3 linked regions of the Astyanax mexicanus genome follow. The protein of the gene in region 2 purifies or fractionates together with the protein of the main gene of each other region. This does not show direct contact. Links are inferred from orthologs where the notes say so. Each region holds a gene or a part of one and is shown on either strand. Other genes may lie near its edges. The genes, in order: tsc22d2, nrbp1 and tsc22d1.

The links.
Region 1: the proteins of nrbp1 (region 2) and tsc22d2 purify together in Homo sapiens (affinity purification with mass spectrometry; 5 studies listed by BioGRID and IntAct, with this or other methods). This does not show direct contact. The link is inferred for Astyanax mexicanus from reciprocal best matches to the Homo sapiens genes NRBP1 and TSC22D2.
Region 3: the proteins of nrbp1 (region 2) and tsc22d1 purify together in Homo sapiens (affinity purification with mass spectrometry; 6 studies listed by BioGRID and IntAct, with this or other methods). This does not show direct contact. The link is inferred for Astyanax mexicanus from reciprocal best matches to the Homo sapiens genes NRBP1 and TSC22D1.

What each region holds. Positions count from the first base shown.
Region 1 is NC_064415.1:57,645,809-57,656,705, forward strand, and holds the start of tsc22d2 (TSC22 domain family protein 2), read right to left. Parts: upstream 4,315-10,897; 5' UTR 3,651-4,314; coding exon 1,915-3,650; intron 1-1,914. UniProt on the Homo sapiens protein: Reduces the level of nuclear PKM isoform M2 which results in repression of cyclin CCND1 transcription and reduced cell growth.
Region 2 is NC_064408.1:79,490,772-79,502,172, forward strand, and holds the start of nrbp1 (nuclear receptor-binding protein), read right to left. Parts: upstream 4,267-11,401; 5' UTR 3,579-4,266; intron 1,202-3,578; 5' UTR 1,116-1,201; coding exon 867-1,115; intron 220-866; coding exon 97-219; intron 1-96. Other genes in the region: capn3b (calpain-3b), read left to right, coding at 6,095-6,418. UniProt on the Homo sapiens protein: Required for embryonic development. Plays a role in intestinal epithelial cell fate and proliferation, thereby involved in the architectural development of the intestine potentially via the regulation of Wnt-responsive genes.
Region 3 is NC_064418.1:28,486,000-28,496,927, forward strand, and holds the start of tsc22d1 (TSC22 domain family protein 1), read right to left. Parts: upstream 5,159-10,928; 5' UTR 4,286-5,158; coding exon 1,479-4,285; intron 1-1,478. UniProt on the Homo sapiens protein: Transcriptional repressor. Acts on the C-type natriuretic peptide (CNP) promoter. Acts to promote CASP3-mediated apoptosis.

The sequences.
Region 1 (10,897 bases), on a different chromosome or scaffold from region 2:
ATAATCAACGTTATCGATTTATTTATAGAAATTTAATTGTCGACTAATCGTTAATTTCTAACAGTACCACATTACACAAAGTGCTGGGAAATGGCAAGTTTACACTCAACTTGCTCTGTGTTTTCAAAAGTGCACAAACACAACAGATGACATATTTACTCACTAAATATAAAAACTTTAATAAACTTTTCATGCTTAAACAACATCTGAACGCTTAAATGGCTTTTAAATCTCATGTTTAACCATTTCTATAGTTTTTAGAAATGGAGAATATAGCAGAAATAATTGTTGACTCATCAAATAATCTGAAAAATTATTATCAGATTAGTCGACCATTAAAATAATCATTAGTTGCAGTCCTATCCTCAATATGCGTCAACATTTTCTTAAAACCCTACTAAACAGTCAGGGTCACGGCCACGAATAACAGAAAGCAAATCCTCAGGGGTCAGCAGGCAAGGCCAGAGTTTAAAGGAATAAGGAAACTCTTAATGCAGAAGGAAGTTCAGGATTCAGACTTTTCTGAATCATTCTGAAACAATAAAACCTCAGCTGAAGCTTGCAAACAGCGTCTGAATGAAAGAAAAGATATTTCTGTACATATAAGGAGGTTCTCCTTGTTTTCCTCCTCTGCAGATGACTTCTCAGCTTCAAGAGGCCCTAACAAGAGAACCCAAACAGAAGGCTTCCTTCGTGTGGCCTATGGTGGGGATTTGTTACAGTGCACGCTCACTACAAGCAACAGCATGACTGACACTTATTCACAATCATTCCAATCAATCGCCAGTGTGCAAAGCTGAGGTTTTTGGAAGTGAAAGTTAATTATCATCATGTGATTAAAAACAAAAGTTAAACATCTCTCAAACATTTTCCTTTTAAGACATCTACTAGACTGCTTTCACATTAAAAACCCATCTGATGGCAAGATATTATCATGACTAGGGTATTGTACGTAATTTATGTAACGTGTAATTAATATTATGAACGATATTATACCCTTAAAATATGGTGTCATATCACCTACCCCTAATCATCACATCAGGGTGCTACTTTCCCACTTTATATACCTACTAGATACAGATTATATCTGTCCAGTATCACTTATTTTACTTTAATTCTGGATATATGGAGATATTTGGAGGAGTGTTATTATTATTGGTACCACGACATTCTGGATTATTGACTTCTGTTACAAATCTGATCAAATTCTTGTATTTTTTAATATCTCAGTTAGGGCTGTGCCTTATCATATCATATGTAGTAATAAAATCTTATTTGCATTTTGCTGCAGTAGTGTATGATTATGTTTTGTTTTTACTAGAAATAAAAAAACACTGTCCTGTCATCTTTATCAGGCTTATACAGTGTACGTTCATAAACTTTTGTGAATGCTGTTAATAAATTTTTAACTTTAATACGCACAGCTAATTTACAGATTTAAATTATTTACTCCAACACTTTCGGTATTAAGTTACAGAGAATTTAATCAGATTGTTAGTCAATTTTAGATGTAAAATTTTAAATATGTAATTACTGTGTAATACTGAATAATTACTATTCATAGTAATTACTATGAACCTGAAGTACATAAATAGCATGTATTTTTAAAAAGGGAATACTTTGTAAGAACAGTGTGTAAAATTTTAGAGGTTCTGATGTGTGTGTGTGTGTGTGTGTGTGTTTAAGCCACCTCTATTTTTTATTCTCCACTCCAGTTTACCATCAGATATCAGAAAACACAACTGTGACCTTACGCTTGCTCTATCGCTCACCCCTTTATGAACTTAACACGAAAGCTCTGTGGTTACGAGAGTGAAGAACCTAAGCAAGATGATAAAAATAAATAAAAAATAAAGCAGGCCAAAATAATGTGAACCCAACATCAGGTTTCAGTGCAAGTGAGTGACTCCTCACCTGTCATCATCCCCATCAATAGGGATGGTTATTCCAAACAGGCTGTTCACTCCAGGGGTGGCCAAAGGCAGGTCCTCCGTGATCAGGGGCTTGCCCAGATCTTTCCCAGGCATCAGAGGAACCTGGGCCAGAACGTCCGATTTCCTCCGGCCCTCCTCCAGCTGGCCGAACCCACCCACGGCTGCTGCGTTGCGGGTCACTTGGGCTTGAGACGAGCTTGCATTGGGCATGGGTACAGGCACGCCTCCACTGGCTGGCATTGGGGAGTGCCCACCCGTAACGGGCGCACCGCCCATCCCAGCTGATGTGGGCACTGCTGGCAACGTTTGGGCGTTCTGTGGAGGCACTGCCATACTTGAGGGTGGATACTGTCCCAACTGAACTGATGACTGTCCTGTAGGAATAGCGCTCACTCCACTAATCATTCCTGCCCCAAGCTGGGGCAACAGGTTTGAAACTGAAGGCCCAGGCTGGCCCCCTGGTAAAGGAACAGGCATGCCCGTCATATCCCCAGGAACACCCAACACAGGCATGCCCCCCGCTGCTGGAGTTGGGACGGGTGAAGGCCCCTGGCTGGCTGGGTGAACCACAGACAAGCTAGCACCGGGATGTGTTTGGGCGACAGTCAGAGGCAGATGCTGCTGTGCGTATTCGGCTAGGCCCGGCTGGTTGGGCAGGTGATGTCCAAGAGGTAACTGCTGCTGCTGTGTCTGCTGCTGCTGCTGCTGTTGGGCCTGATAGAGCATTGTCTGCTGCTGAGAAATTGTTGGTGCAACTCCAAGCTGCTTCTGAACGTGATGACCGCCTTGCTGCAACCCATTGTGCCCGGGCGGGAGAAGGCTGTGAGGAACGTTGGTGACATGAGAACCAGGGCCTGCAGGGGCCTGATGCTGCTGTTTGCTACCGAGGGCGTCAGAGGTCACCGTCCCAGAGCCAGGAGGCACCTGTTGTGGCACAATACCATAACCATGTTGCTCGAAAGGATGCAGAGACCCATGGAGCAAGGATGGGTCGAGGGCGGGCGGCTCGTCCCCCTGACCAGAGAGGCCAGAAGGGCGGGTCACGGATCCTATTGTGGCCCCGAGCCCACTGTCTCTATCTCTGTCCGTGCCTTGCTCACTCACCACGCTCACATTCGTGTGCCTTATACTGTCCACAGTTCTACTACTGCCCACATCAGGGTCTTTTTCATAATACTCCGTGCAGGTCCACCTGCCTCTCTTGAAGGGTTCTCCAGTACTGTGGTCAAGTTTGATAAGCCTGAAGCGAGAACTGAAGGCCCCAGAGGAGGTGGAGGAGGATGATGACTGGGTCACCTGGGATACCTGGGGCAACTGGGACGACTGGACAGGCCCCTGTGGCCCTTGATAGCCCACGACTCCAGGTGAATGTAAGCTCCCAGGCAAGGCTCCACCAGATAAGGTTCCCAGTTCCCTAGGCCCCACGCCTCCGTTGGAAGGAGCCAACAATCCCGGCTTGTGAGAAGCAGGAGGACCCTCGGATTCTCCCACGTTGTTCAGAGTCTCCTCGGACGAGCTGCGTTCGCCGGTGCCCGCCTCCAGCTCGGTCCGGGACACACTGTCAAAGATCTCGGATGAAGAAATGTCCTCAGTCCGGGATTCGTCCGGATCGTCCAGGCTTTCCGTGTCGTCAGGCTGGCCGCTGCCGGCCACCTGAGCCTGAGTCACGCTGGTGATCTGAAAACAGCTCTTTTTCTTCGCCGGCATCTTAGACATGTCTGAAACAGGGTCTGTGAGCACCAGCCAGGCACCAAATACGACCCAAAAATGTTTAAAAACTAAGACTAACGCGCTACTTCGCCCCAGAAACGCAGCAGAGGAAACCTGGACGAGCTTCTCTCAGATTTTAGCGCTAGCTGCCGTTAGCCTGTGCGTCACCGTCGCTCTTCCTCTTCTCTCCTGTTGCATTTTTCGACGACTTTTTTAACACAGTTAAACCTTCAAAAAAGCTCAGAAAAGTCCTTTCCGAGGGCATTAAGGAGACGACGGGTGATTAAAAACAGAGTCCGCACTACAAACCCGACTTGAAGAGGCCTAAACGCAGCTTTTCAGGCTCCGAGCCGGGCTCCGAAGCGACGCCGGCGTGGCCGTCGAGCTCCCCGGGCTGAGGCTGCTTTCTCCGGGCCGAAGCGGGAAGGCTGCCCGCGGCCTCGCATCCACCGCCGGCCTCGGCCTCCGCCTCCAGAACAAGTACCAAAACACTCCGGGAAAGAAGGAGAAAGACGCGCCCGCGCCGTTCCGGAGCAGCCTGGGTCTGAGTCAGACAGGCGGCCGCGGTGTGTTTTAGTCTCTTTTCCTGTAGCGCTGATCTGCAGACTGTGTGTGGGAACGGCGCTCAGACCGCGGAGCAGCAGCGCTAAACCCACCGCACTCCTCCGCTCTACAAGATGGCTAAAGATACGCACAGGCTGACTGCGGAACGAGCGCAAATCTGCGTGGTGAATACGGAACGTGCGTAGGGTTTAGTGTGTAAGCGTAGCAAACATGAAAGACTTTTATTCTAGAATTTTACAAATATTTTTAAACACTTTAGTTTTAAAATCAATTATTGTAATAATAATTTAAAAAAAAAAATAATAATTATATTATTATATAATACACAAGTAATATTTTAATATAGTTTTAAATTACATACAATGTTTTAATAACTATAATAAGACCTGATAAACTCGTGATCTTTAAGCAGCAGAGAAGAAAAGCTAAGTAAAATAGTTCTAATTATAATTATTAATATAACATAAATAATTAAAGAAGATTTAACATTCTTATCGCCTTTTTTTAAACAATATTTTACATTTCCACTGTCATACTACTGCGGGTTTTATTTTGTTCTCTCTTTATATATATTATTTTTCTTACTCTTTAATTTTTTCTTTACTGTTTAAGACCATTTGCTATCACCATGAGTAATTATTTATTTTCATTATAGTTAAAAGCCACGAAAGCTATGTAGGTAAGAAGGCTTATATTTTGTGATTGATATTTTTGTCTTCTGTGCATGTTAATGATTTATTTATTTTTGATAAATATTTGTATTTTTGAAAAAAGAAAGTGACTTTTTAATATATATTTTTTAAGATATATACATTTTCTCGACATAGAGGGCATTATTAATATCTTTTTATGCTGGGTTCTTTACTTCTGGAGAAATCTTCTAAACATCCCTATTTTTTATATCGCAACATATTTTATAGAAGAAAAATATGTATATATATATATACACACACATATATATATATATACATATATATATATATATATATATATATATATATATATATATATATATATATATATATATATATATATATATATATATATATTCTACTATCATGTCGCCATACTTTTTGGGAATCTAGGCCTTAATAAATATGCGTTATTTTATTACAGAACATGTTTTTGAAGCAGGGCTCTCTGCTTTGTTCTGAGACCTACAGTGAAATCCAGATGTGGTCCACTAGAGGGAGCCACATACACGCTGAAAAGACTGCACTGCAGCAAGAGGAGACACCGCAGCTGCGCTCAGCAGACCTGATACACAAACATCTGCATGCAGAACACCTTTAACTGTGTGCAAATAAAACTATATAAAACTATCTCTGTACTTTATTAACATCCTCTCTATCTGAATTGATTGTTAAAATATATATCTTTATCCTGGATGTAAGTGAGTAAATGATGTGTTGGTTGGTTGATGCTGCAGTTGGTCTGCAGGTTTAGGTTCAGCAACAGTATGTGCTGAAAGAATGAGGTCAGCTGACTCTACCTGAATATACTGAATATAGACCAGGTTATTCTTCCATCAATGGATCGAATATTCCAAGATGACAATGTCAGGATTCATGGGGCTGGAATTGTGAAAGGGTTCAGGGTTCAGGGAGCATGAGACTCTACCATCATCAACGCTGCTGCAAGATCTTGAAAATATTGTTTACTTTAATTCTATTTGTACATTTTTTTCTCATAAAAGTGCAAATCAGCCATATAATTCTTCTCCTAAAAAAACAGTTATTTTAAATGCTATACTGATGTTAACAGATGTTGAAATGTTGTTCTACCTCATAGTTTTGTTGAATAAATAAATGCATTAATAAATGTATGCATTTCTTGCTTTTACACAATGATATATGAAGCATTTTAACATTTAAAATTTAAGATTCTATGTTAGCCAATTCAAGTCTTTCAGTCCCAAAATTGGACAAGGACAACATCTAAAAATAAGACAAAACTATCTGGTATGACCTTCGTTCTGCAGCATTTACTGCAACTAAATGTTTCCAGTAACTGTTGATTAGTCCTGCACATTTATTTTGAAGTATAGATATCAGTCTTGCATAGATGCCTGTTCTTTTATTTGATATGTGCAGATATACTTGAGTACTTTGTGCAGGAGACCACGTCATTTCTTTATTATTAGATTTCAGTTACAGAAATACCATTTACATGATACATGCACCAGTAAATCTCAGCCAGATTAAATTCTCTAACTATATAAACCAATAACAAGGCTCTGTTGACATAGCTTCATACTTTAAACTGCTGTAGTTATATCTGATTCTGAGCTAGTGTCTAAAATACAGAGAACAACTACCCCTGTAGTTGTCCAGACATTAAGCATGTGAATGCGGTGGAAGTTTTGCCTAAAGCATGGAAATAATGCTGAATAATTTATTTAGGCCGCTGCCCTCACGTGCATGCAGTGTTTACCGGTCCTAACCTGTCAAAAGACAGCAACAGGAAACTGTATTTTAGTTATCAAAATACAATTTTGTTTTATTGGCCTCCAGAATGATTAAATATTTATGTATTTACCTGTAAAACATTATATGACATTAGAAAAAAAACAAATAAACATAAAGCCAATAGTCAGTGAGTGTGTCTACCTTTAAAACATTATATAACATTAAAATAAACCCAAAAAAGCATAAAGCCCATGGTTAGTAAGAGTGTCTACCTGTAAAACTTTATATAAGATTAGAAGAAACCCAAATAAACATAAAATCAGTGGACATATCTACCTGTAAAACTTTATATCTATATAACATTAGAAAAAACCTGAATAAAGAAAAAGTCAGTGGTTAGTGAGTGTCTACCTGTAAAACTTTATATTACATTAAAATAAACCCGAATAAACAAAAGGCCAGTCAAAATCCTTTACCTAATATCTAGGCTATCTAGTTATCTAGGTAAACTATAATAAAATAAATGTACCTTATTTTAACTCATCTAAAAAACTAAATTTTACAGCAAAACACTTTCCCACAATTCCCCTCTTTTCGTGTCATGCCATGCTCTACACCACACTAATTTGCCATACAAATCTGTACGCAGGTTGAAAAAAGTTTTTAGGTCTTACGTTTTAAGTTCAGTGTTAACAACATTAGCCTAGCCTATGTTTACATATGCTTTCCATTTACCATTACATGTGGTTTACATATGACCTTACATGCCTGTGCACAACTGTACGTGAATATATATATATCACTGCAGCGACACTGATTAGCATGGTGGTGGTGGTGTATGAGGTGTTAGTGTGTGTTGAGCTGGTACAGTGAATGTATTAGGTACAGTGGTGCTGCTGGAGGTTTTAAACACTGTGTTTAAACACTGAGGTTTTAAACACTGCGGGGCTTATAGGAAGGCCTCAAATAATGAAAAAAAAAAAAACAAGTTTATATTCATAAAGTTTTAAGAGTTCAGAAATCAATATTTGGTGGAATAACCCTGGATTTTGATCACAGTTTTTTTCATGCGTCTTGGCATCATGTTCTCCTCCACCAGTCTTACACACTGCTTTTGGATATCTGCTTATCTTAAATGCTGCACTGATGTTAACTTGAAATATTGTTCTCTTTAGTAGTTATGTTAAATAAATAAATTAATTAATTAATATATGCTTTTCTTGATTTTACACAATGAATTATGCAAAAAAATTACAAAAAAATGATCAATTTCTTTCTTTTTAAGTTTATCTCTTAGAATAATGACCCACTACCCAAATATTAATAATAATAGTAGCTGTATCTCTGTTCTGGTCTATTTATGCTGTGTGAAGAGGATAATAATAATAAAGTATGTTGAGAAACAGATGCAGAGAACTACAGTCTGCAATCATAGAACTACAAAGTGCTCCTCCTTTATAGACAGTGGAGCTGATAAGATAGAAAACTAACTGAGAGAGCTGAGAAAGAGAAGAGAGAGAGAGAGAGAGAGACACAGAGAGAGAAGGCCAAGCCGACTCCTCTCGAGGAAGTCCCTCCCATGCACATGACCCGCCGGCTCTAAGTGGTTTCCTGCCATGCAGCACATTCTCATGGTGAGAGGGAAAAGTCCCGAGCAGAAACCAGCCTGGAGAAAAAGCAGGAAGTGTTACAATGCCTCGCTTCAGCGAGGGACAGGCAACACTTTGTGGATTCGAGAAAGATCTATGAGGAAAGAGCGCAGTGTGCTCCTGAATGGGGGCCTTATTTCACTTCCAGCCTCAAATCCTTTATGAACATTTTACTCCAGCTGATCTTCACCAGCCCTGCGTGTGTTATCTCCAAATGACCTTTAGATCGTAGATGTGAGTGACTGTGTCACTGTGTTTACTCCTTAGGTGAGCAATGTGCACCAAGGTGATTAAGAGTGTAAATAGACGAAGAAGAAAGAAGAAGACGAAAATAATTCACGAGTTTAAGAAGGAAAACAACCTGGACTGGCTCTGTATTTTCATACGGCACGCAACAGGCCCAAAGCTAATTTCCCTAACCCAGTGATACCGAGCGTTCATACGCCCCATCCCTATCTCAGAATAACGTATTCATGTTATCAGCGTGGACAATGTCATGGGTAGAATCCCACCTCAGGTTAACGTTTGCTTTTTCAAGGCGTTCACCAGGTGTCCACCTAGCGACCTTTGCCTCAGTGCTGGAACACGCCCTACACTCTAAAAAACAGAGGTACGATATGAGTACTTTTTTGTACTCGAAGGTACATTCTTTATAATTGTACCCTCAAAGGTACAATATTGGTCTTTACAGGGTCAGATTTGTTCCCTCTGAAGTACAAAGTCATTTCTAACAGCAATAAGTACAGATTTGTACCATTTAACCAGCCAAAAGGTACATTCAGTATTCTGCATCACTGTACTAATGAACAGTATATATTTAAATTGCACATTTTTTATTTGAAAGCCAGACAATTTTGTATCATCAAGTTTTTGAGCCATTTTTAGTTGATGACAATGTTTATAATCTTTATAATCTATACTGGCACAAAAACCATGGGTACAAAAAAGTACTTTCACTGAAAGGTACTTTTTTGAACCTTAATATAAGGTACAGCCCCAGCGACAAGCTTTGTACTCTTTTAAGTACAAATCTGTACTTATATTTCTTAGAGTGTAGTTTGTCATGTTCTCTGGGTTGTGGCGCGAATGCAGCTCTGTGCAGTCAAATGTGTGTTCAATCTGCCAGAGCTGAAGCTGAAGCAAAGACAAACCACAGAGTACTTTTATGTTAATAACTAAAGATAAAAGTAAAAGTACCATTAAAAGTAATTATTATTATGTATTATTAATTATCTGTTTGTTTGTATCAAGGTATAGTTCAAGAATTACATAGTATAAGAGAGGAGCTAGCTAACTTTAAAATTCAGCATTAAACACACTATTATACTATTAGTGTTAAGCCCTATCTGGATAGGATTAGTTTCTCAGGGGGCGTCTGTGAAAAATATCTCACACTTCTACTCTAAAGTAAAAAACATCCTGCATCCGGACTGCAAATAAAAAAACAGGAGAACCAGTGAGATTTTAGGCTTTTTTCTCGCTCACATGACATCATCAGGGCGTTCAGTAGCTCCTCCATTTCCACTCGCTGTTGTGTTAATGTTATATTTTATGTGGATCTCTGTGGAAACGTGCACCCAAAAGTGTAATTACGGTGCGTAGCAGTGGACAAATAGCTATTTTATTAAAGTTTGGCCATGCTGGTTATGGTTGGACAAACAGCATATTAAAGAGGCACTAAACCCTAAACCGTATATATGTATTTTTATTTTTTATTAATAGATGAAATACATTCCTCTGAAGTAATAATACATATCATAATTGTTTCCAACTTTTAAAAAACACTTTTATTGCGGTTATTTCCACCTCTGCAGTGCCCTCACACACCTTCAACTGTGCTATAAGGATGATGTTTCAGTGTACTTCAGGATGTTGACACTCAAAATTTGCAAATCAGTTAATAATCAATAAACACTGCCCCTCTCCTTATTAAGGCCAAACATTTGCGCCTTGCTGCTATCAGAGGTGCCCCCAGCTCCCCGTCCCTAAACCCATACATCACCCAGTGCAACTCCTAAACTGTTTATTATTTTTTTTTTTGTAGCATTTTAAAATTTTGATCTGAGGGTGGAGTCAGCACAAATCACGGGGTTTAGTGCTCCTTCAAAGCTTTGTAATTTGTACTGGTAGATCGGATAAACCCTTAAGCTAAAAATAAAACCTACCATAATACCTAATATCTCTTCTTAAACAAACTATAAGTCCAAAAAAAATAGTCATGTTTTTGATTGGCTAACAAGTTCCTAGAGTTTAAGAAGTGGTCTATACAAATTAAATTTCAAACCTTAAACATTTTGTATCACATATTTTTTTTATTTGGCGAAAAAAAAACTGAAATCAAGTCTATTTGAATCTGATTTAAAGTAATCAGAAAAGGGACTATTTGTTTGGCGGTGCTCTTCCCTCCGCCGTCGCGGGGCAGTGTTTTCCAAATCCCGCTCCATTCAGTCTTTCTCCGCTACATATGAACCGGTTTTTAACTGTAAAGCCTTATTTTAACCCGAAAACCCTTTTATTTTTACACAAATTACACAAACCGGGTGTGTTGGGTGAAAATAAAGAGAAATGCGCATTGTAAGAATTAATTGAGCTGTACTGGAACACGTTGGAGTGTTAATGCACGAGTAAAATC
Region 2 (11,401 bases):
ACACAATTTAGTGGACTGACTAAGAGGATGTATTTGTAGGTTGTGTTGTTTTGTGTCTGCTTGTGCTATTTTATATGTGAAATAATTTAACTGTACCTCCTGCAGTTTGAAATTTTTCCTTTCGGAGAACATGACCTCATTCCACACCACCTCCACTCCCTCCTCTGTGTCCATAGCCAGGTAGGCGTTGTCGATGCCAGGAACATTTCGCTGGTTAACCTGTGGAACAGTGAACATGTGAACATCAACTACTTACAATTCTAAACATTTGAAGCAACAAAGAAGACTGACTGTTTTAATTAGGATTCACACATGTATCTCCTTGTCCAACAAACTTAAATTAAAAAATGTGCTTTAAAGTCTTTCAAAGATTTATTTTTTATAACAGAATTCAGTATATCAACAGAGAAATATAATGAACTATCTTGGATCATTTTCTGTAACATTGTTATTATTTTAGCACACATTTCTGCAAAAAAATAAAAATAAAAAAGGAATTAAGCCGCATTTCCAAGGGTTCAACAGCAGCTTCTGCTCTCATTTACTGGTCCACTGTTCACTCTGCAGAGTGTATCTGAACTGTTAGGGCTACAGTCATGCGCAGCCGAACAAGGACCGTCCAAACACACACACCCCTCATAAATGTGACTCATGCTTCTCACAACACATTGATTACGTGTTTCACCATCTTCAGGAATTCGAACATAACCATATTTCATTCAAATAATAATAAATTAGAAATCCTCTTTTTACTGAAAATTGTCTATTTTTTCTTTCATCAGATAAACCCATTCTTAATGCTGTACAGTAATAATATCACGGTTTAACTTTATTTACAGTCCTGCTATAGAACCAAAGCTCTGTACCTCTTCTCTGCGTTTCTGCCAGCGTCCACATGGGCTCTCTTCCAGAATCTCAGACTCATCCTCACTCTCCTCCTCCTCGTCCTCAGTGGCTGCAGTGGCGGCAGGGGGAGGCTGAGTTACTGTGGACACCGGGGGAGATACAGAGGAGACACCCTGGCCAGCAGGGACGGAGGCTACCGACTCAGGCTTCGCTTCCATGGTGGATGTTGGAGCAGTAGAAGTGAATTGTTTGCCTTCTCCTTCAGACATCACCGATGGATAACAGACTTTGCCCACAACCTCCGGCTACAAACGCAGTCTGGAATGCTCGCACCACAAGGGTGGGAGGCAGATTACTGTGTGAGGAGAAACAGAATGGGCACAGCTAAGATTATTACATGGTAAGACTGTGGATGTCAGAATTTAACAAAAACAAACTAAGGAACTACAATAATAATTCACTCTATTCATCCAAATCATAGGTATACTGTGACAATGGAGGTCTGACTTTAAAAAAGAGAAGTCTTAAAGTAATGACCTGTTGGTCTGTCAGAATGACAAAATCCACTGTAAACCTTTAATGTAAAATAAAACAAAAAGTTTTAGGAGTGTGACAGAGAGGACATTGCACATCTTGATCACTAAATGACAGACAGGTCATGTCAAAATAGGTCACAATCATGAACAGATTGTGTCAAAATAAGTCACTAATACAACAGAACAAACAGACGTGTCAAAATAAAATTCACCAATACAAAAACAAAACAGTGAAATGAAACACAACAACAACAACAGAGCTCTATGCAATAACATTTACAATCCAGATCTACAATCCAACACTATAAGCAATCAGATCCTCACAACACTTCAATTTCTAGTATAAATCCCTCCGAGAAGTCCAGGGGACATAACTGCAGTAAAATAAGTAGTAAAATGTAGTAAAATACTTAATATCATTGATTAGTATCATAGTCGTGGGGATATTTAATCAAAAGAAACAGTTACTTCAATAAAAGTATGCTCCGAACAGAAATGAAAAGCAGATAGCAAAGAGTTTCATATAGACCCGCATAGGAACATTATTGTATCTATAAATCTCTTGGTGAAGCCTTGGGGCTAATATGAAAGTATTGAGAGAGGGGTGAGAGCAACAGGAATGCAGTCCAGGTGCTGAATTAGGGAATTAGGAGCTAACTGAGAAGGATTAAAACGGGGATGAGGAACAAGCAAATTCCTTTCCTCACAAATATGCAGACATTTTAGCAGCTCAAGTCAACAAAAATGTATGTTTTCACATGTAACAGAAATTCAAACCACTCCAGCACACATCTGGCTAGTGGACATCAAATGTATAGCATAGGTCCAATGTATTGTATTCAGATCATTATTGTACACAGAGTATTAATTAAATAAAAAACAACAAATATCATAGGTTTGAGTTGTTTCTGAATCAGTTTCTCATTTTTTGCTATGTATAGGTTTATGTTTGAATCAAATTAACATTGTTGTTTTATCCTATAAACTACAGACATTTCTCCCCAAGTTCCAAATATTGTCATTTAGAGCATTTATTTGCAGAAAATGAGAAACGGCTGAAATAACAAAAAAGATGCAGAGCTTTCAGACCTTAAATAATGCAAATAAAACAAGTTCATATTCATAAAGTTTTAAGTGTTTAGAAATTAATATTTGGTAGAATAAACCTGGTTTTAATCACAGTTTTCATGCATCTTGGCATGTTCTCCTCCATCAGTCTTACACACTGCTTTTGGATAACTTTATGCCACTCCTGGTGCAAAATTTCAAGCAGTTGGTGGCTTGTAATCATTCATCTTCTTCTTGATCATATTCCAGAGATTTTCAATTTGGTAAAATGAAAGAAACTTTAATAATTTTAAGTGGTCTCTTATTTCTTTCCAGAGCTTTATATATGTTCGATCAGCCATGCCCACTGACGCGCATAATAAAAATCACTACAGTCACTACAGCGCAGCCAATGAGAAGAGACAACAGAACAGGGTACACTAAACTACACTCATATTAGATACATATAGAGGCCCTTTAAAACTATTTTGCATTATTAGCTTTTTGCTGAGTCCCTCGGTTAAAGTTATATAGTATATTTTTTGTCTGTTTAGGTGTATAAAACTATATTAACAGTGTTATCAGGTAAAGCAAAAATATCTGAAATAGACAGTCGTTTAACACAAGCCTCTTTTTCAGGTTTTGTAGTTAAGTAAAAATCACTTAAGCAGGTTGGTACAAGCTCATCACAGTCTGCTATTTTTAGCTTTTTAGCTGTGGCTAATTTATGGCGGAACGGGTTTCGGTAAAACGCGGAATCCGTTGATTCCTAGCTAGTTAGCTATCGTGTGTGAGTAACTGGGTTATGAAGATTTGTACAGAAAGCTATCGCCGGATTCCTCAGTTCACCGAGCCCCTGACGGGTCCCCGCCCTGCAGCGGAACACAGGCGGGCCGGCGGCGGACTGCGCTCCTCTCGGGCTGATCTTGTAAAACTTGTTCCTCCGGTTTGGCTCCAGCAGCAGCTACAGGCCTCAGGAGCTCCAGCAGCTCCCGATAAGGCCACTGCACCTCTACAACATCAGTTCACCACATCCTGATCACTAACCTCACCCACAGACCAGCGTCACCCCGGTAACACTTTAATAAACATGTTAAATATCGATTAAAACAGACTATAAACACTGAGAGGAGGGCTTTAGGTACTCACTCTGTTCAGGCGCCGCGCCAGCTTAGGTCAACTCCAGCAGACAAAAAGATCCAGACCTGAGGGTTAAGATACATCCACAGGAGCGACTCTAAACTAAAGTCTTAACCCGAAGAAGAGGAGGAGGAGGTTTAGGCGGTGGTGTTTCAGCTCTGAGGAGTGAGATCTCCTCACCAGCCCTCCTGATCTGTGGAGTTACTGCGGATCAAACAACACACCTGATCGATACACACAGACAGACCCAGAGAGACAGGGTGGAGGAACCACAGCGAGCTGAGCTAACTAAATTAGCCACTCAGCTAACTGTCTGACCCCACAGCGCGGGTTTAACCCCCTAACATGTAAAACTGAGCTCTAACTGAACAGTAGAGGCGTGTCTGTGTGAAATAAAGCCCAGCAGAAGAAAGTTAGCGGCGGGGTTTGTCTCAAAGGCGTCGTCCCGACCGGCTGGCGGAAGCCGTTTGTTTGCCAGTAGCCGGAGACTCTAACGGAGCGCTGTGTTCACTGGAGACAGGCCGCACCGCGCCGACACGCCCCGCGCAGCTCCCCGGGCTTAAAGGGCTGATATACCGCACACACGGCCGCCTCCACGAGTCCAACAACACCCACTAATACCATCAGAACATCTCCGCTAAACACCGCACACTAATGGCGACACCAACTACTGCTTCTTCTTCAGCGGTATCACACCACAGCCCCGCACAGCGCCCCCCGCAGGACACCACAGTCCCGCACAGCGCCCCCGCAGGCAAGTAGGTGTAACTGCAGCCTGGGCTCCAATGGGCTTGAAAATACTAGCTGACGCACAATATGACAGACAGGTACCTCACACTTTTAATTGGGAAATGCAATAAATGACTGAAGGTTGATCTCTGTAGTATGATTGACTGATGCACAAACTTATTGAAAGTAACCCCGCCCATTCGCTACGCCCATTGGTTCTACTTGACCGCAGTGGTCCACAAACCCGTAACAGACTGGTAACAGACCACAGCCCCACACAGCGCCTCCTGCAGGAAACCACGAGCACTGAACCTGACACAGATAAATCACAGTTCTTTAGACTGTCTGATGCTGTAATCTGTTAAAACTAGAAATCACACCAAGAATACTGGTCATTTTCCAGTTAAAAAAAACTTTAGTGATTATTTCAAGACCTCTGTAATGTATATTAAATAATATACTAGAAATAATATCAGATCATCACACACACATAAATAATATATATATTTCCAATGTAATTCTGAATAGTAAATCTGTGAAACTTCCCATATTCCCATATAAATTACTACTAGTCATACTTCTTTAGATATATCTAGCATAGCCAACAGTGGCAAGGAAAAACTCCCTCATACTAATAGAAGAAACCTTGGGAGGAACAAAGACTCAGTAAGTGGGATCCATCCCCCTCTGGTCAGCCCTGACAGTAGAAACACATAACAGAACAAAAAACAACTATACAAAGAGACTAGTCAGACTTACTTTATAGGTCAGTAAATCTGATATGTCAGGACAGCCATATACACCATACTCATGCTGGACACATATGGAATTTGGATTCTGCTTTTAAGGGCCTTGCTCAAAAGGCCCAACAGTGGCAACACACTGAACCTAACCCTACTGTTAATAACCCAGTGCTGCTACTTCCCAACAGATTTTATTACTAGTAAACATACAATTACATAACAGCACTGTACAAAATTATGTGAAAATAGAGGCTTCAGTATGTGTCTGTAGAGGAATAGGGGTTTATGCACTACATGACAAATCTCTATTTACAATGCTATGTAGTCCAAGACTAGGCTTTTATATGCATGTCTAACTGAGTAACTGCCCCTATATGGCTACACATTTATGGAGACCACTTTCCGCATTAAGGTGCTTTAATCACTTAATTCTTTCATTAATATAGGAAAAGATAATTCAATGGTATGATAGTTTAATGGGTTGTTCAGGATGTTATTACCCTCAGAGTTGCCTTCAGTTATATGGGGATAAGGTTCAAGCATTATTGTGGTGAAATGGATGGAACAAATTATTATTCAAAAGTTTAAAAAATATTTGCACATCTAAGAACTTTTATTTTAACTTTGTTTAATTATGTAGTTCTAATTTCTAATACACACTACTGTTATGATACTACTGAATCCATTACTGCACATTAAGCACAGTGCACAGGAAAGTGTGAGAGAAAAAAGAGAGAGTGAAAAGAAAGGAAGAGAGAGTAAAAGAAGGGAAAGTGTAAGAGAGAACGGGTAAGAGAGACTATCTTGTGCTACTAAAAGACCTATTAATAGAACAGACTACAAGGATGGCCATGTGTGTGTGTGTGTGTGTGTGTAAGTGTGTGTGATGATGGTGGCAGGGGGTGTGACTCCAAGAATATAAAAGAGCTCACAGCTTGAGCAAAGTGTGATCAGATCAGTTAGAAAACATTAGAGAACTCTTTACTCTGACTGTTTATTCAGCCCATTAATTCACTGTCTGATCTGCACTGTTGTCCCACACAGACTGCAGCCATGAACAAGGACAGAACCAAAAAGATTACAATGGAAAAAGCAGATGAAGAGAAGGTGGCAGAAACGAGAGCACAGACCACAGAGGCCGCTCCTGGAGCTGACAGTGCAGCCAGTCTGTTTGCGGCCCCCGGGAACATTTACTCAGCCATTCTGAGCCGCAATGAAGCCGTCAAAGATGCCAAGAGGCTGAAGGACTTTTTGGAGCTCAGGGACAAATATGTGCGCAAAAAAGTTCTGTTTAAAGACCCGCTATTTCCTGCTGATGATTCCTCACTGTACTACAACCAGAAGTTCCCACTCAAACTGGTGTGGAAAAGACCATCGGTGAGTGAACTCACTGTTTTAAAGGATTTCTATAGTTGTCACGTCAAAATACTATGTCCTTTGCCCTCAAAGAAAAAAAAATGTGATTTTGATATTTTTTGCATGATTTTTTTCTTGACAGCATGGACAATAACAGGGTGGACAGTGACAGAGTGAACAGTGACAGGGTGGACAATGACAGAGTGAACAGTGACAGGATGGACAATGACAGAGTGGACAGTGACAGGGTGGACAATGACAGAGTGGACAGTGACAGGGTGGACAGTGACAGAGTGGACAGTGACAGGGTGGACAGTGACAGAGTGGACAGTGACAGGGTGGACAGTAACAGGGTGGACAATGACGGAGTGGACAGTAACAGAGTGGACAGTGACAGGGTGGACAGTGACAGAGTGGACAGTGACAGAGTGGACAGTGACAGGGTGGACAATGACAGAGTGGACAGTAACAGGGTGGACAGTGACAGGGTGGACAATGACAGAGTGGTCAATAACAGGGTGAACAATGACAGAGTGGACAGTAACATTGTGGATAATGACAGGGTGTACAATTACAGGGTGGACAATAACAGAGTGGACATTAACATTAGCTGGACATCTTAAGCTTTACTTCAACTAAATATGGAGACAATATGAGAAATATTAAGGGAAATATATATATTTTTTAAGTGTGAAAGTGTCTTTCCCTTGTGATTTCATGGATGTCAAATGTACTTTCCTAAAGGGTAGGTTATACCAGAATGACAAGAGTGGACCTTGATATTGTTATGGATAATAATAATCTTTAAAATATATTTTAAAAAAATATTTAAATAATTTGTACTTTTGCTCTGGGGCTTCACTAAAGTAAAAAAATGGAATCTTCACTCTAACTTTCCACCACTAGGATGTAAATGGACATGTTAATGGAAGTAAGAGAATCATATACTGTTATTTGACAAAAATGAATACAGAATACAGAAAGTGTATTTACCAACTTATAAATTTGTAATTTCAGTCCCATTTAAATGTAAAAATGATAAATTAATTAATGTATGAATTAGTTATTCCAGTACAATTTAAACAACAATGCTTTAAAATAAGCTATCTTAAGTAAAACATATTTAGGTTGGTCATCCATTTCTACCCTTCTGTTTAAACACTATAGTGTCCTACAGACAGAAATACTATACACCTCAGTTTATTTATCCTGTAAAATATGCAACCAAATGCATCCATACATATATACAGTATGTAGGTATTGCAAATGTGTATGTATATACACATGTATACACTTGCAAAATTCCTGCATCCCTTTGTTATTGTTGCAACGATCAATCTTTCAGCACAGGCTGGTAGGTAGCATTTGTAGGGCTTAAGCCAACAGACTGTAAAGGTCAGTAGCACTGACTAAACTTTAGAAACAATAATAAAAATGTTTATGTTATAATGTTTTTTAAAATATATATAAATGTATGCAAATTAACATTTTTAAAAACCTGCAGTGTTTGCAGCCAAAATAAGAAATAGTTTTCTATAGAAAGGTTCTTTGAAAAATTTATAGTTATTCTTCTACATTGTGTGTGAAAGCAAATTATTCATTAACTGTTGTTAATCTAATATTGCAGCCAAAAGTGTGACTAAAAAGTTGACTCAGTCAAACCTGTTTCATAAGAATACATCCAAGAGTATAATCAGTTTTTCAGAAATAAGATGATTTTAATGTTTCACAGCTAAACTATATCAGTGCATGAGCTGCATTGAAATACTGGTAATCAGTGGGCTCTCACTCTCCACCAATTACTGACTGCTGTCTACACGAGACAGATGCTTGTGATCACTTCCTCTCTGAGTGGGCCGCCATGCTGTGGCCTGAAATAAGTTGGCCTCTGCTACGTTGCATGCCATAAGAGAATGTGAGAGTCATCTTGGCAGTGTGTTTGTTGGGGCATAACTGAGGCTTAGCGGGCTCTTGGGTCTCAGGCAGCTGACTCTACACATCACTAATGCATCCACTGCTGGGCAGTACAAGCCTCACACAGGGTCAGCAGCTACACACTCCCAACCTGATAATCACCTTCTGTCACTGCTTTTGTTTTATGGCTACAAATCCACCACCTAGTGATTTTACAGCTCTGTCACATTCAATAGCTACAGTAGATCTTACAGAAGTACTGTATAAAACTGGGTTTCATGGTTCCACATGAACAATGTTACAAATTGGATTAATGTGATCTTTCAGTTGGTTCAATTTTTGAAATTATTGTGTTGATATATTTTAATTGTAAATCGTGTAAACATTTCATAGAGGAGGAAAAAGTGTCTTAAGTGTTCATGTCTCAAGATGCACTTCTAATATCAAGTACATTTGGACAGTTTCAAATTCACCATTTTGTCATAATTATTAAAGTTACTTAACTATTTTCAGTAAAACAATTTAATAAATTTAGTTGAATACAAACAGCAAATTTACAACTTCTCCTAATCTCTCCTCATCTGAGTTTAATAGAGTTATTTCTAGTTCAACACCTGGTTTGGTAAATTGGTAAATGTGGTAAAGCAGGTGAGCTGCTGACGGAACTGAACATATCTGGAAATTTGGAACTACACTTTGTTCTTCAGCTTGGCTCAAAGGATATAACATACTTAGTTAAAATGAGAATTCACTGTTACATTTTACTGTATGTATGTTTTTTGCATCTGTTTAAATAATATGTGGTGCTTTTTTCAGGTAAAAACACTCCTATTGATTAGATGAATGGATTAGTGTAATTTGCATCGGTGCCTTAAACTTTTGCACAGTACTGTATATGCTCTGTAAAACATTTTAACATAAAATTAAAATACACAAGTCACAGATTACACATATTGTTTACTCTAAAGTTCTCCTAACTCACATTTGCATCTCAGTTTGGTCTATTAAACAGTTGATCCATTAGTAAACATTAGTAAAGTGCAGCAGCTGAAATAGTTTAAACAGTTTGTAGAATATTTGTTTAGATTTTATTCCCATTTGTAGACTAGCATGGGGGGATGCTTTCTATTCCATACTCATCCAAGCCAGTGCTGCTGATGGAATTTGAACTCATGAACTCCTGTCTTTAAACAAGCAGGCATTAGACAGTTGCTTCACCCTAGACCTGTGTAGCCATGTACATTTCTATGTCCAAGAAAACGTGGAAAGCCCTGTGCTCATTACTCTATTGACCAAAGCTCCACAGACACAGGAGAACATGTGAAAGGAGCTCTAACCCGATGAGAATAAACAGTAAACCAATTGAAGGATGCGATACAGGCATAAAATCTAACAAAATATTAAGCAACACAGTTTACTAATGTTAGGATGCTAACAGTAATTTTCCTGAGGTGTGAATGTGCAGGTCATTTTCCTCTGCTGAGAAGCACAGAAGTGTAGCACCTTTGAAATCTGCCAAGATCAGAGCACATCTGGTTCTTAAATGGAATGCTGATTGGTTTATTTCACGTTACACCCAAAACACACCCATGATTAATTAAAAGAATTAGTACATGCCTTCTGATGCATTTTGAGCTGTGCAAGGAAGATTTTTTGCATTGTTACAATAGCAAATACACACTGACACACCCTAAATCAAGCTGCCTGGTGCACGGTTGATGGCTTGCCTATAGATCACCAAAATATGGCCCAAAAATGCTCTGTGACCAATTACTTAATCAAAGTAAGTTTGCTTGCTTTTAATTTTTAATATTGCAGTTAGTCTCCTCAAGAGGTTGTCATTGTAAACTAATGACAAAGTAACATTATTATTATTATGGTTCTGTAAATGTTAAAGATTGAAAGCAATTATGTAACTGAGAGCTTGAAGCATCTTGGTCTTATATAAATTAAGTTGCTGTGGTGTAGATGGCCTTGCTATTACCAGTTGTCATCCAGTAAATATTTAATTTCACCACCTATACCCTGTGCCAACCCAATAAAACACTTTTAGACAGTGCTTCAAAGGAACAATACACCAACGCTCTGAATGTGTTTATAGCTTCCTATAAATATCTATGAATAAAAGGAATATAAATGTCAGGAGAGATCAATATGTACTGCCATGCATAGTCAATCTATATGCATTCCTGCTCCTTTCACTCATAAAACGGTGAAATCAGAGTCACTATACTGTGCTGTGACCTACAGCAGCTGCTACAGCTTTCTGCTTATCTGCCATATTATATCACCATCTTAAAGACTAGCTTAACAGTAACTAGTAAGTAGTTAACAGTAGTTTAACAGCCCTAAAATAAGCTGCATGAAGCAGATTTATGTGGCATTTTAACCTTTAAATGTCTGCCTTAAAATCATGTTGACACTCTACTGACCTGTAACAGAGGGAAAAGTGCTACTAACATTGCTACTCAAGGATGAGAACACCAGAAACTGCACTATGTAACTTTGGGAAATAGTGAAAAGGAGTATGCTTGTGAGAACTGTGTAAAATAGTGTAATAGTGAGTGTAAAATATTGTAATATTACTCTTCCTCGTCAGTCTAAGTGATCCTTCACTTCGGATGATGGTTTTGGATCTCTCAACTTGTACAATGCATGTGAAAAACATGCAGTTTATGCCTAATTGGTGGCTCAAAGTGCAAACTCCACATCCTAACAGTAGGGGGAGCCCAGCAAAGAAATACCAAGTTTGCAAAAAAATTACCAAGAAGGTATGCTCATAATACTGCTTTTTTAATGTTTAGTTATGTTAGTCTTTGTCACAAAATGTGCTCCTGTGGTTTGGCCCTGGATATACTAATTAGTGCCACCTTTAAGTGTAATGCACATCCCTGAGTTGACTGAAACTGTATAATTGTTAAGTAATCTCAGGAATCTTTTTACAATGCACTTTTATGTCAGTTTTATGTTAGCCATACTACAGGTTTGACCAAGGCTTTGTCACAACACTGTGAAAAAAGGCAATAATAAGAAGTGGAGCACCATCTAAAATATATTTTTTAATGTTATGGCCAAACAGAAAAAAGATAA
Region 3 (10,928 bases), on a different chromosome or scaffold from region 2:
GTTCAATATTTTAGAATTTGAAATATCAAACTGGACTAAGATGCTAATGTCTGTAAATTCTTGAACACACCACAGTTAGATAAACATGCCCTGACTTAACACATCATCCCCTCTCGCAAAAAAATCTGGCTTCTTAGTCACTCATACAGGCTGGCTGGAGAGCAAATATTCACTTGCTCATGATCCACACACTCACACCCTAAAATGAACCACAGATGAAAGGTAATAAGGTGAAACACCCAACATTATTAGTAAACCTTCACTTGATGCTTGATGAACCATTATAAGGCTAAAAAGACAAGCAAATTTAACAGCATCCTGCCAGTTTCTGAGGATCTGATCTGACAGTCAAATTAATGTTACTGTTTAAGCTATACTAGGAGTGAGTGAGCAACTCAGTATCAGTAAGTTACAGTCACAAAGCACTCAATCATGTGTGTGATCTCTTATGATTAAATTGGTCAAGATGTATGATCACACACACACACGTGTTTAAGATTTGCTGCTGTTCTCATTTAATAAAGAACCCCCCAAAAAACAGCATATAAAGTAATTATACAATGTAATGTTTGATCATCATGGGCTTTCATAGTTAACAGCAATGGATAAAAGTTATTATTGTGATTAACTTCAGTCTAAAAATAGAATACCAGAAACATTCTGATAATTTGCCTCTCCTAATGTGTACGCTCTAACAGAACTGCCAGTTTCATTAAGGAGTGTCTGGTGACGGAGCAGTTCATCATCCCAGATCTGTGAGCAAGCTCTGTCAGGAACAGAGGAGTCATATGTAGAGTATACTCTGTGTTGTCTTTGATGGTAATGCAAGTCTACATGTCTCTTGAGTTAAATACAGTGTGTATGTATACCTGTATGACCATGATCTTATTATCCAAACAGTTATTCCTACTTTCATTCCATTACACGCGCTGCCCCTTAGGATGACTACATGAATTCATCTTTCATTAAGCGCATTAGTTTTTTTTTTTTCATGAAAAAGGCCAAAAAGGGCTTGGCTGGATAACAGAAGGTGTGATGTTCTGGAGTTCAGATTAAACAAACTACTATTTTTTTATGACAGGTATTTAGAATATTGCTGTAATCATAGAGGGAGCTTAAATATTACACCTGCAGTTGATACATGTGCAAAAGTCAGCTTCAAACCTTCAACACTTTTAAAGGTCAGAGTGTGAATTGAAAGCAGTGGGCATCCGTGTCTGTCAGTACACTGATATAAGCAGTTGTCACTTAGCATGGGAAAAGTGACCAGCAGCCTATGAAGGGGGTCTGCTCTCTATTTTTATTTATGTGACAATATCCCTACACCTTCTATTCCCCAAGAACAACCTATATTTGAAAATAACCTTGTACATAAGTGTAATACTTTATATTAGAAATAAGAAATGCAGAAAATTCTAAACATTCACATCAGCCACACTTTTTTTCTTAACTTTTTCAAAACAAATTTTGACACTCACCTATCTTCCTCTCCATCTACAGGCAAGTTCTTCAGCAGACTGGCTGAGGCAGTTAAGGCATTAACTCCACCACTCTCCTCAGGACCTAAGGAGGAGCCAGTTTGGGAGGCACATTCACCAGCTGCTAGCTTGGGAAGTGCGAGCACAGACTGGTGCTGAAAGAGAAGGCGTTGGGCATCCTCCAGCTGTGTGGCCATCAGTGAGGGCAGGGTGGCATAAAGGGCACTGACAACAGGCTGGGCGCTGGCATTCTTAGCGCCATTCTGTACCAAGCTGGACTGGCGATCACTCTGAGGATTGGGAGGCACATTTGATGCAGGCAGGCTTGATGTAACTGAAGGGACAAACTGGGCTCCTAATGCCTGATTGCTGAGGGGCGCATGTTGCTCCATGGAGAGCTGAGAGGAAAGCTGTGGTCCTTGGGGCTGCTGGATTACTCCAGGCCCTGTAGACTGCACTAGCTGTGGCATGACCCCACCGGTGGGGGCCTGGGCCATCTGGGGTGAGGGAGTCTGTTGTGGTTGCATCAGTCCTTGAGAAAGCGACTGAGCTACAGCAGTGGGCACAGTGCCCACAGGTGGCTGTGAACCCGGCATCATCTGAGCACTGCCTGCCACGGTGACAGGGGGGATGGAGCTGGACAGGTGGGGAAGGGCTTGCGCTGATCCCGGAGCTGCAGCCTGGATGATCTCCTGAGGCGGCTGCTGCTGAGTGAAGTCAGGTGGCAGGCTGCCCCCTTGGCTTAAAGGGTTGACGTGTGCTGGGGCTACCTGGGCTGGTGCCGCTGGCTGCTGTGCAGGCGGGTAGGCCATCTGCTGTGGGGTGACTCCTGAGAGGCCCTGAGCTGGAGTTAGCTGTGCTGCTTGGGCATATGTCATCTGCTGTGGGGCCACGGCCGGTGATGGATGCCCAGTGGCCGTCTGCAAGCCTACCATATTTACCGCATTTTGTTGCTGCTGAGTGCAGGCTGGCAGTGGGGTGGTTGCACCAGCCTTTAGATGGGGATGCACCATGTCCTGGCGAGGCATCTGAGGTTTGGAAATGTTAGCAGTAGTGGGTGGCTGTGGAAAGATCTGCTGCACAGCTGAGGAGCCTCCGATATCACCACTGCTCACACTCTCAGAGTAGTGACTTAGAGTGCTGACTGAGCTGCTGACAGAGCTCACACTGTCTCTTTCTGAGCCCAACACGTTATCAGGTACAAACTGGCGGATGCTCTCTACTGTTCGGGTGCTAGGTGCATTTTCAGAGGACCCAGAACCTGGAGCCTCTTTGTCATAAAACTCTGTGCATGTCCATCGGCCTTTCTTAAACGGCTCGGAACTAGAGTCCAATTTGACCACTCTGAAGCGTGAGCTGGTAGTAGCAGGAGGAGGCATTTGTGCCTGCTGAGAATGAGTGTTAGAGCCAAGGATAGCATTTGAAGGCTGGGTAGCGTCAGCTGTCCCCACATGACTACCACTTGTTGACCCAGTAACAGCAGTGGCAGTGGTGCCAGTTGTCATTGTGATGACATTACTTACTACACCACTCTGCTGCTGCATTAGGTTTACGTTTTGGTTGTTGGTATTATTCAAGCCAGAGGAAAAAACTACACTGCTACTGTTTGTACTTATGCCACCCAAAGCAGGCACATTGGAGTTTAATATATTAACATTACTTGCATTGCTTGGTAAACGCTTAATACTTATCGTAGCACCTGATGCCGCAGTGACTATGCCAGTAGATGTTCCTGGTGCACCAGCAACCAAGGGCTGACTAATGACATTGGTGGTGGCAACAGAGGCGTTTTCCAGAATTCCACCCACATTCGAAGGCATTTTCTGGCCTATGATTGGTACAGATTCAGGGCTTGTTGTGATGGTGGAGGTCACCACACTACCGAGTGGGATGCCAGCAGCTTGAGTAGCGCCTGATCCTGCAGAAGAAGTGGAATGAGTATTTCCAGAATGCGTAGGGTGAAACTGATGGTGGTGGGGCTGGGGGTGCCCCGCATTGTGGTGGTGGTGCTGCTGTTGCTGCTGCTGAACATGATGATGATTATTATTTTGATGATGATGATGATGGTGGTGGTTAACAGCACCATTGACCATAGTGTGTGTGCCGCCGTGGTGCGTCTGGGACAGAATAGGTGGCTGATTTGGAGATACAGCCCCCGGGGTTTCTGCCTCGTGAAAGTTGTTGAGGGTTTCTTCAGATGAGCTCCTCTCAGGTCCACCGGTGTCATTGGTCCGTGACAAGGACACATCCAGGATCTCAGAAGAGGAGAGGTCCTCTGTGTGGGACTCATCCAGATCATCACAACTTTCAGTGTCCTCAGTTATGCTGTTGTTTGTGCTGACGGAGATCTGGGCAGGGGTGACGCTGGTGATCTGAAAGCCACTTTTCTTTTTAATCTGTGCCCCCGGGGCCACGGGCAGGTTCTGGGGCAGCAGCGTGGGCTGGGGGTGGATGCTGAGGCTTTGAGGAGGGAGCTGGGAGCCGAGCGTGGCCGCGGCTGAGGCCAGCGGCTGGATTAGCGCGGAGGGCTTGTAATCGTCTGCCGGCATCAGGTTGTTGCTAAGGCTGGCACTTCCCGAAGATGTCAACGCGGAGGGAGAAGCACTAGCGGTGTTACCGGCAGCCCGTCGGGCAAAAGTCGCCGGTTGCGCCATTTTTCGGGCGCTCGTCGAGTCTCCTGCTGGGTCGGGGTGATGCATTTCTAGGGGGTGGTCTCCGGCAGAGTTGTAAATACAGCTTACAAGAACTGCCGTGTTGACAAGGTCTTTTTCAGTAGGAATTTCACCTCGCCCAAGTAGTTTCCACATAAAACTAATGGCCCCTTTCCAAAAACAGCCAGGAGTCGATAATTCCACTTTTGTTCAAGGTATTTAAACAATGTCCCGGCCAGGCTACGCGCTAGATAACTAGCTAGCTAACCTGGCTAAACTGAATGCTAGCTTATGGCTAGCTTAGCTAGCTAACGTTAGCTAAGTTAAAAACAGTCGTCGTTTAATGCTAGCTAGCGTTAGTGCTCTCAGCTTAGAAACACTGGTTTACACTCAGTTAGTTAGCAAGCTAACATAACTAGCTTATCTTAGCTATTTAACTGTCGAAGACGTTTCAGATCCAGAACGTTGTCAGATATGACCAAATTTAGTTAGCTAACTAACAGTTCATATTATCCAAACAGCTAGCAAATACAGAAATTTATTATCAAACAAACTGAACACAGCTGAGTTAGCTAACCTAACGTTTTCAATATCCAACAGCGGTGGCTGGCTACAAGTGCATGTAGTACAGTTACAGCTACTAGATTGTGATTCGCATTTTGAATCCGGCGTTACAGCAGGCGTAAAACCATACAATCCACCGACGTTGTCAAGCTGGCAGGCTGTATCCAAAACGAGTACCGTTACCGGAGTCCGTGTTTATTCCATGTCCCCGTCCTCTTTGTTATAATCCAGTGTTAGCTAGCTAGCTGCACCAGTAGCTAAATAGTAAGCTAGTATCTTCTTTCCCAACAGCTCTCTGTCTCTCTTCAGCTCTCTCTCTGTCTCCTTGTAATGTAGCCTGTGCTATTGCTAGCCAGCTATCTGCCTGTGACGAGACCGAAAGGGGGAGGAGAAGCTGCTGATAACATGGCGACAGCGCATGTCTGTTTACGCCGCCAACAGCCAGACATAAAGCCAGTCTGAGGGAAAGGCGGAGGGAGGAAAGAGGAGGGAGGGGTGAGCCTAGAAAAAAAATGAGCATAGAAACAAGGGAAGAGTCAGGAGAGGGTGAGAGCGGGGTGGTCTGTTGGAGAGATCTGCAAAATAGCTTGCTAGCTAGTTATTTATCAGCTGAAAAAAGACTTGACCGTACTGTAACCGCTGTCTCTATGGCTCTAAGTGTCTAATATAATATAATATAAAATACTTCTGCTTTTAAGTGTTTCAGAGGGGTTGTGAGACACCCCAGCAGCGGAGAAAGAGAGAAAGCTTTAGCTTACTACGTGAGAGAACCGGAGGAGGGGGGCTTTATCTCCACTGGACCCCTGAGGTTGTCAGTGGGCGTTGTCCTCATGTCGCTTATGTCCTTTTGGCCCGGGTGATGCTAGCTAGATAGCTAAGTTGGATAGAAAGATACAGCTCTGAAAAGCCCACTTAAGTTTCTTTGATTTTGTATATATTCATATGCATATGTGTCAGTAAAATAAATATTGCTGTTTTATTCTATAAACTACGGACAACATTTCCCCCAAATTCCAAATAAAAATATTGTCATTTAGAGCATTTATTTGCGGAAAACGATAAATGGCTAAAATAACAACAAAAAAAAAAGAAACAGAGCTTTCAGACCTTAAATAATGAAAAGAAAACAAGTTCATATTCATAAAGTTTTCATAAAAACTTCAGAAATCAATAGTTGCTGGAATAACCCTGATTTTAATTACAGTTTTCCTGCATCTTGGCATGTTCTGCTCCACCATTCTTGCACACTGCTTTTGGATAAAACTGATAAAATTCAAGCAGTTCAGTTTGGTTTGATGGCTTGTGATCATCCATCTTCCTCTTGATTATATTCCAGAGGTTTTCAATTTGGTAAAATCAAAGAAGTGTCTAATTTGTAAGTGGTCTCTTATTTTTTTCCAGAGCTGTATCTTGCTAATTAAATAATCAGTTAAGCTAGCTCGCAGACCAAGCTCAGTTTTAAACTCATTATGGCTCACATTTGACATTATGGATGATTGAAAAAAATATTTAAGCAAATGCATGTGGGTACCAGGGGATGTCCAAATATCTGGGTCTTAAGAATCTGCCTGGTTTAATTGGAGACAATAACATGTTGTCACTGTTGAGTAAAAACATTATATGAGTATACTCTAAAATGAGCATACTTTTCTCCAAATGAAAAGTCATGAGAATGAAATTCATTTTACAGCATTTTTATTGGACTTTGTAGCATTAATTTGTTGTGTTTCACATCAAATTAACTTCAGGATATCCAACATATTTATTACACATTGCATTATTAGTCCAAATCATACACCCCTAGTTTGCATGTGTATGTTCCTGTGGATGACTTGAAGGTGGTACTTTGAGTTATCTGTTATACATTATCAGGGCTATATGGCATAGCTAGCTAGCTATTTAGCTTGAATAGACCCACCTAGGATAGTTTGTTGACTTCTGTCTGGGTCAGCAGCTTAACAAAGTGTAAACAGACTGTATGGGGGGAAACAAGCTTGGTGGCTAACTAACATGGTCCAGAAATGTGTCCTGTTTTCACAAAACAACTAGCTACATTGAAAGAGGTGCCAGATTTTTCCACAGACAGAAGAGAACAACCAAACACATGTGTTCACTGCACAGCCATTGCACACACTGATGGTTGGTCCTCTCTGTTTAGAGTAGGAGCTAAAGTTCTAGGCTCAGTAGTTTAATGTGTTAAGGGTTTTAAAATATGACTTAAGGGGAAGGGGCTGCGCAACATGATAAACATATGGTTATATATATGATAAACACATATATATATATGAAAACTAATTTAAAATGATTTAATATTATTATATTATTGTATAATATAGTTTATACTATGACATTTATTTTAAATAGTTGCAGAATATTAACAAAAACATAAATGTTGTGTCCATTTTCAAATGTATTTATGAATGTATTCCACATATTCCTTTTTCATTATGAAACTTAGAAAAATACATAGCTTTGGTGGGATTGCACTGGCACCTTTACACTCTTATGGATTAAGAAATATTCAAACATTGCTTAAAGGGGTTGGGACTTTATAACAGTACATTCTTTGGACATTTACAAGACCTGTTCCATACTGTCTCTCTGATGTTAATGTGTAAAATAGGTCTGTAGTTAGCTGGAACTTTTCTAGAGTTCTTTTTTGTCAGATGTGGTGTGTAGTGTGTAATTGCTAGTAAAACAAAAAGCACAAAAGTTGAGGTAGGGGTAGCATAGTTTAGTCTGTTGTTAGTTGAGTTGTTTGTAGTGCTTTTGATAATTGATTCTAGTAGTGTAATAGATAGCCAATAATGAAAGAACATATTTTTTAGTGGGGAAATCAATTTGGTAATTTTTATGTCATATGAGGTGAGGTACTACTAAGTACTAATTTGAGATAACATGTTAACATATATTCATTGTATGCACATACTTACCTGAATGACCTTCTTTTCAGAGACTAAATTCAGATTTTAGGCATATAACAGTGTCTCATTAAAACAGCTGCTTTGTCAGAGGTTCAGAAGCTTTTAGATCCAGGACTTATTCAATGAAATACAAATGTGTACCCCTGTAATGCAAAAATAACTGCATGCGGTACTTCATTGGACAAAAAGCTGATGTGACCTACAGTTGATAGATATCCCTTCTCTTTGGACTCGTCAACAAACCTGAATGAAAGTGAGGTTGATATGATTGTAATCCGGAACAATAACTGTTGGGAAACGATATAAGATGCCCTTCCGAAATGAATGTGTGCCCTTTGTCACTGGCAGGCAATATTCAGCCCAGGCAGACAGGCTTGTACCCATCCATACAAATGTCGGAGGGAGAGAGCCAGCGAGAGCTGATTGCAATGTAAGCGTCTGGTGCTGTCAGCAGCTTTAAATCACACTGGCACTCCACAACAAAAAACACAGAGAGCTATTGTCCTCCTGAACAATTATGGTCAATTTAAACACTGCTGTCTGCTTTAGTTTGTAAACATTTATTAAAATGATATCTTTATGATTAGATAAAAGAATAGGGCCCACTGTTGAGTCACTGTTTGCATGTAATCCAAGGCTTCAGTTGAAAGCAGAACAACAAAACGCTGTGCTTTCATTGCTTTTCTCTGCTGCTGTCATGAGAGCATTTAAACATGTTCAAAGATGTTTATGGGTTTTGAAATATGTGAAGCCTGCAGATGAAGCTGCTGCATTGACACAGTTGTCCTGAAGCGAGGTGAAATTCCTGAAACAACAAAAGCCTACAGGAGAGAGAGGAGCAGCAAAGCAAAGCCTAAAGTCTCTGAATACAGATGTCAAGCCTGTAGTTGGGGCATTGTGTCCACTTGTGAGCCAACTTTAAGTCGGAATTTCTGATACTCATAGTGTTGTCAGACCAGTCCAGTCATCCGCTCATTTGGTAAATTATTGTGTGCAAATGCCTGCGATATGAAATGGTACCTGTGATTATGATTGGTCATATTTTTCCTGTCCTTGCCCTTTACAGTTGATTCAGTCATTAATGTATGTATGAATAAATAAGCTTTAGATATCCAACATATTAAAAAAATTGTAAGAAAATGCTTGATACATTTTACACCCTTATAATTTTAGTATTACTCCTGTAAAGGTAACATCGTAACGCTACAAAGAGAGCTACATTTCACTAATAATACATCAGAATTGTGGTGTGCCATGCCTAGAACACATTTAACCCTTTCGATAAACTACAATTTTTTTGAGTCCGTTAGCTAATCAAATAACAAACGCATCCTAACATAAATGCACTATTGGGACCGTTTGCAGTAGTTATTTCTAAAAAGCTATTTTAAATGCACATATATAACAATAGTACTAATGTGTATTCTCTATGAAGGAATTGCTTATGTGACTCTAAATATAATTAATGTTGAGATTTGTTGTTGTTGCTGTTCCTGATTTATCATTCATGGTGTTTACTACAGAAACCAGTATTAAGAATAAAGATTTAGATTATTTGAAACACTTTATTGATGCCATAGATAATTCTCTTCCAGTAGTACACTGACTTAAACATCTGTCAAGTGTTGTACCTCAAGGCTTAATACTTAAGCCATTATTGTTTTTATACACATAAACCACTTTAAACTTTCTTTCAAAAGTGCTTTTTTTATTTGACAGTTATATCTATCTATCAAACTAAGATTGATTTATTTTCACAAGAGTTTGCTGCTGGCTTTTGTTGTGACAGCTGATTTAAAGCTAATAAATGATCTCACAACCTTCACCAAGGCGCTTGTAATACGTTTTTGCTAGAAGGTGAAAGAGAGATTGTTTTTTTCACTTGTTCCATTTGTTTCTATTGTGCCACATGCTATATTGTCTCTCATAAATGAAACTCATAGATCTAAGGTCCTCCTGTGGGAATGTTAACCTGGTTCTATTTGTCACTGCAGCTTTGTCACTGTGTAAAGGTCACTGAGTTTTTTTCTTTACCATTAATTTCTAAGACTTTGTTTGGACCTGTTGCAGAGTCACAGATCGGATGTTGTGGTCTTGCAAGTGTTTGCCATTTTGTGAGAGGAATTTTGGTGCAAATTATTGGTGAAACAAATTTGAAGAGGGTGATAATAAAGCTTCAATCTATCTGTGTGTCTTTCTTAGACTTTATGTAATGGAAACCAGGTCTATCTTATGCTTTATCTGAAATACATGAGTGTCAGTGTGGAGTAAGCAGTTGTAGTTAATTTCAATGCAGCTGATTTCATTTTGGTGTCCTTGAATAAGACAGCAAGGACTGTGCTCACAGTATTTCAGCACTCTGTCATTGTTATAACCTTGATCTTCGTTAAGGTGCTTGTTTCAGAGATTTGATTTCATATGAAGATGTGATGAAGGATGGGCTCTGCCTCTGAAAGCCTTTCTTTATGTACCATGTCTTGTATCAGGCCTGTCAACTGAATGTGTTCTTGTTGTTGCGTAAGGATGGAACACAAAAGAAGTCAGTAGATAAGTTCAGTATCGCAGTGTTTCCACTGCATGATTAAATATGTGTTTTAAATCGCTTCCCAATATCCTTAAATATACCTTTGTGTATTAACAGTTGCTGTATGTCAAAATAATATGTGCATTAGGAGACATAAGGTGCAGTTTTATTAGCACATTATGTATGGCATAATACAGGTTACTCTCATTTTGTGTAGTATAGTATAGTATAGCTTGTGGTTTTAAACACAGTCTGGGTTGTGTTATGTTCAGAACAGATGACAGACAGGCTTTGTTATTAGATGGTGTCAAATGGCGCCACCTAGGGGCTCATTTAATAGCAGTGTACTTCTATTTAAATGCTTTAAAGTTCTACATGAATAAACATACACAGCAAAATTGACAGTAATTTAAATTTGTCCTAGATAACATATTGTCCCACTCACTCTAGTGTTAAAATAACTCAACACTGAAAATCTACAAAACATTATAAAATGTGAGCTATACCACAGAATCTGTTACTTTTTTATCCTATCCAAGACACACACAAAATCAAGAGGCAGAGTCTGTTAGATCCAGTTAAATTTTACCTCTGAATAATAACACCAACTCTGTGAAAAACATATTTACACAGTGATTTTAACACTGCGGATTTTACTCTGTAAGTGTATGTATTTATTAGTGCATTCATTTTTTTGTTTGAATTTATATTTTTTTTGCATAAACTTTACCTTTACCAGTAAAATTCTTCTGTTCTATTAATTCTATTAAAATTACATTTTACAAAT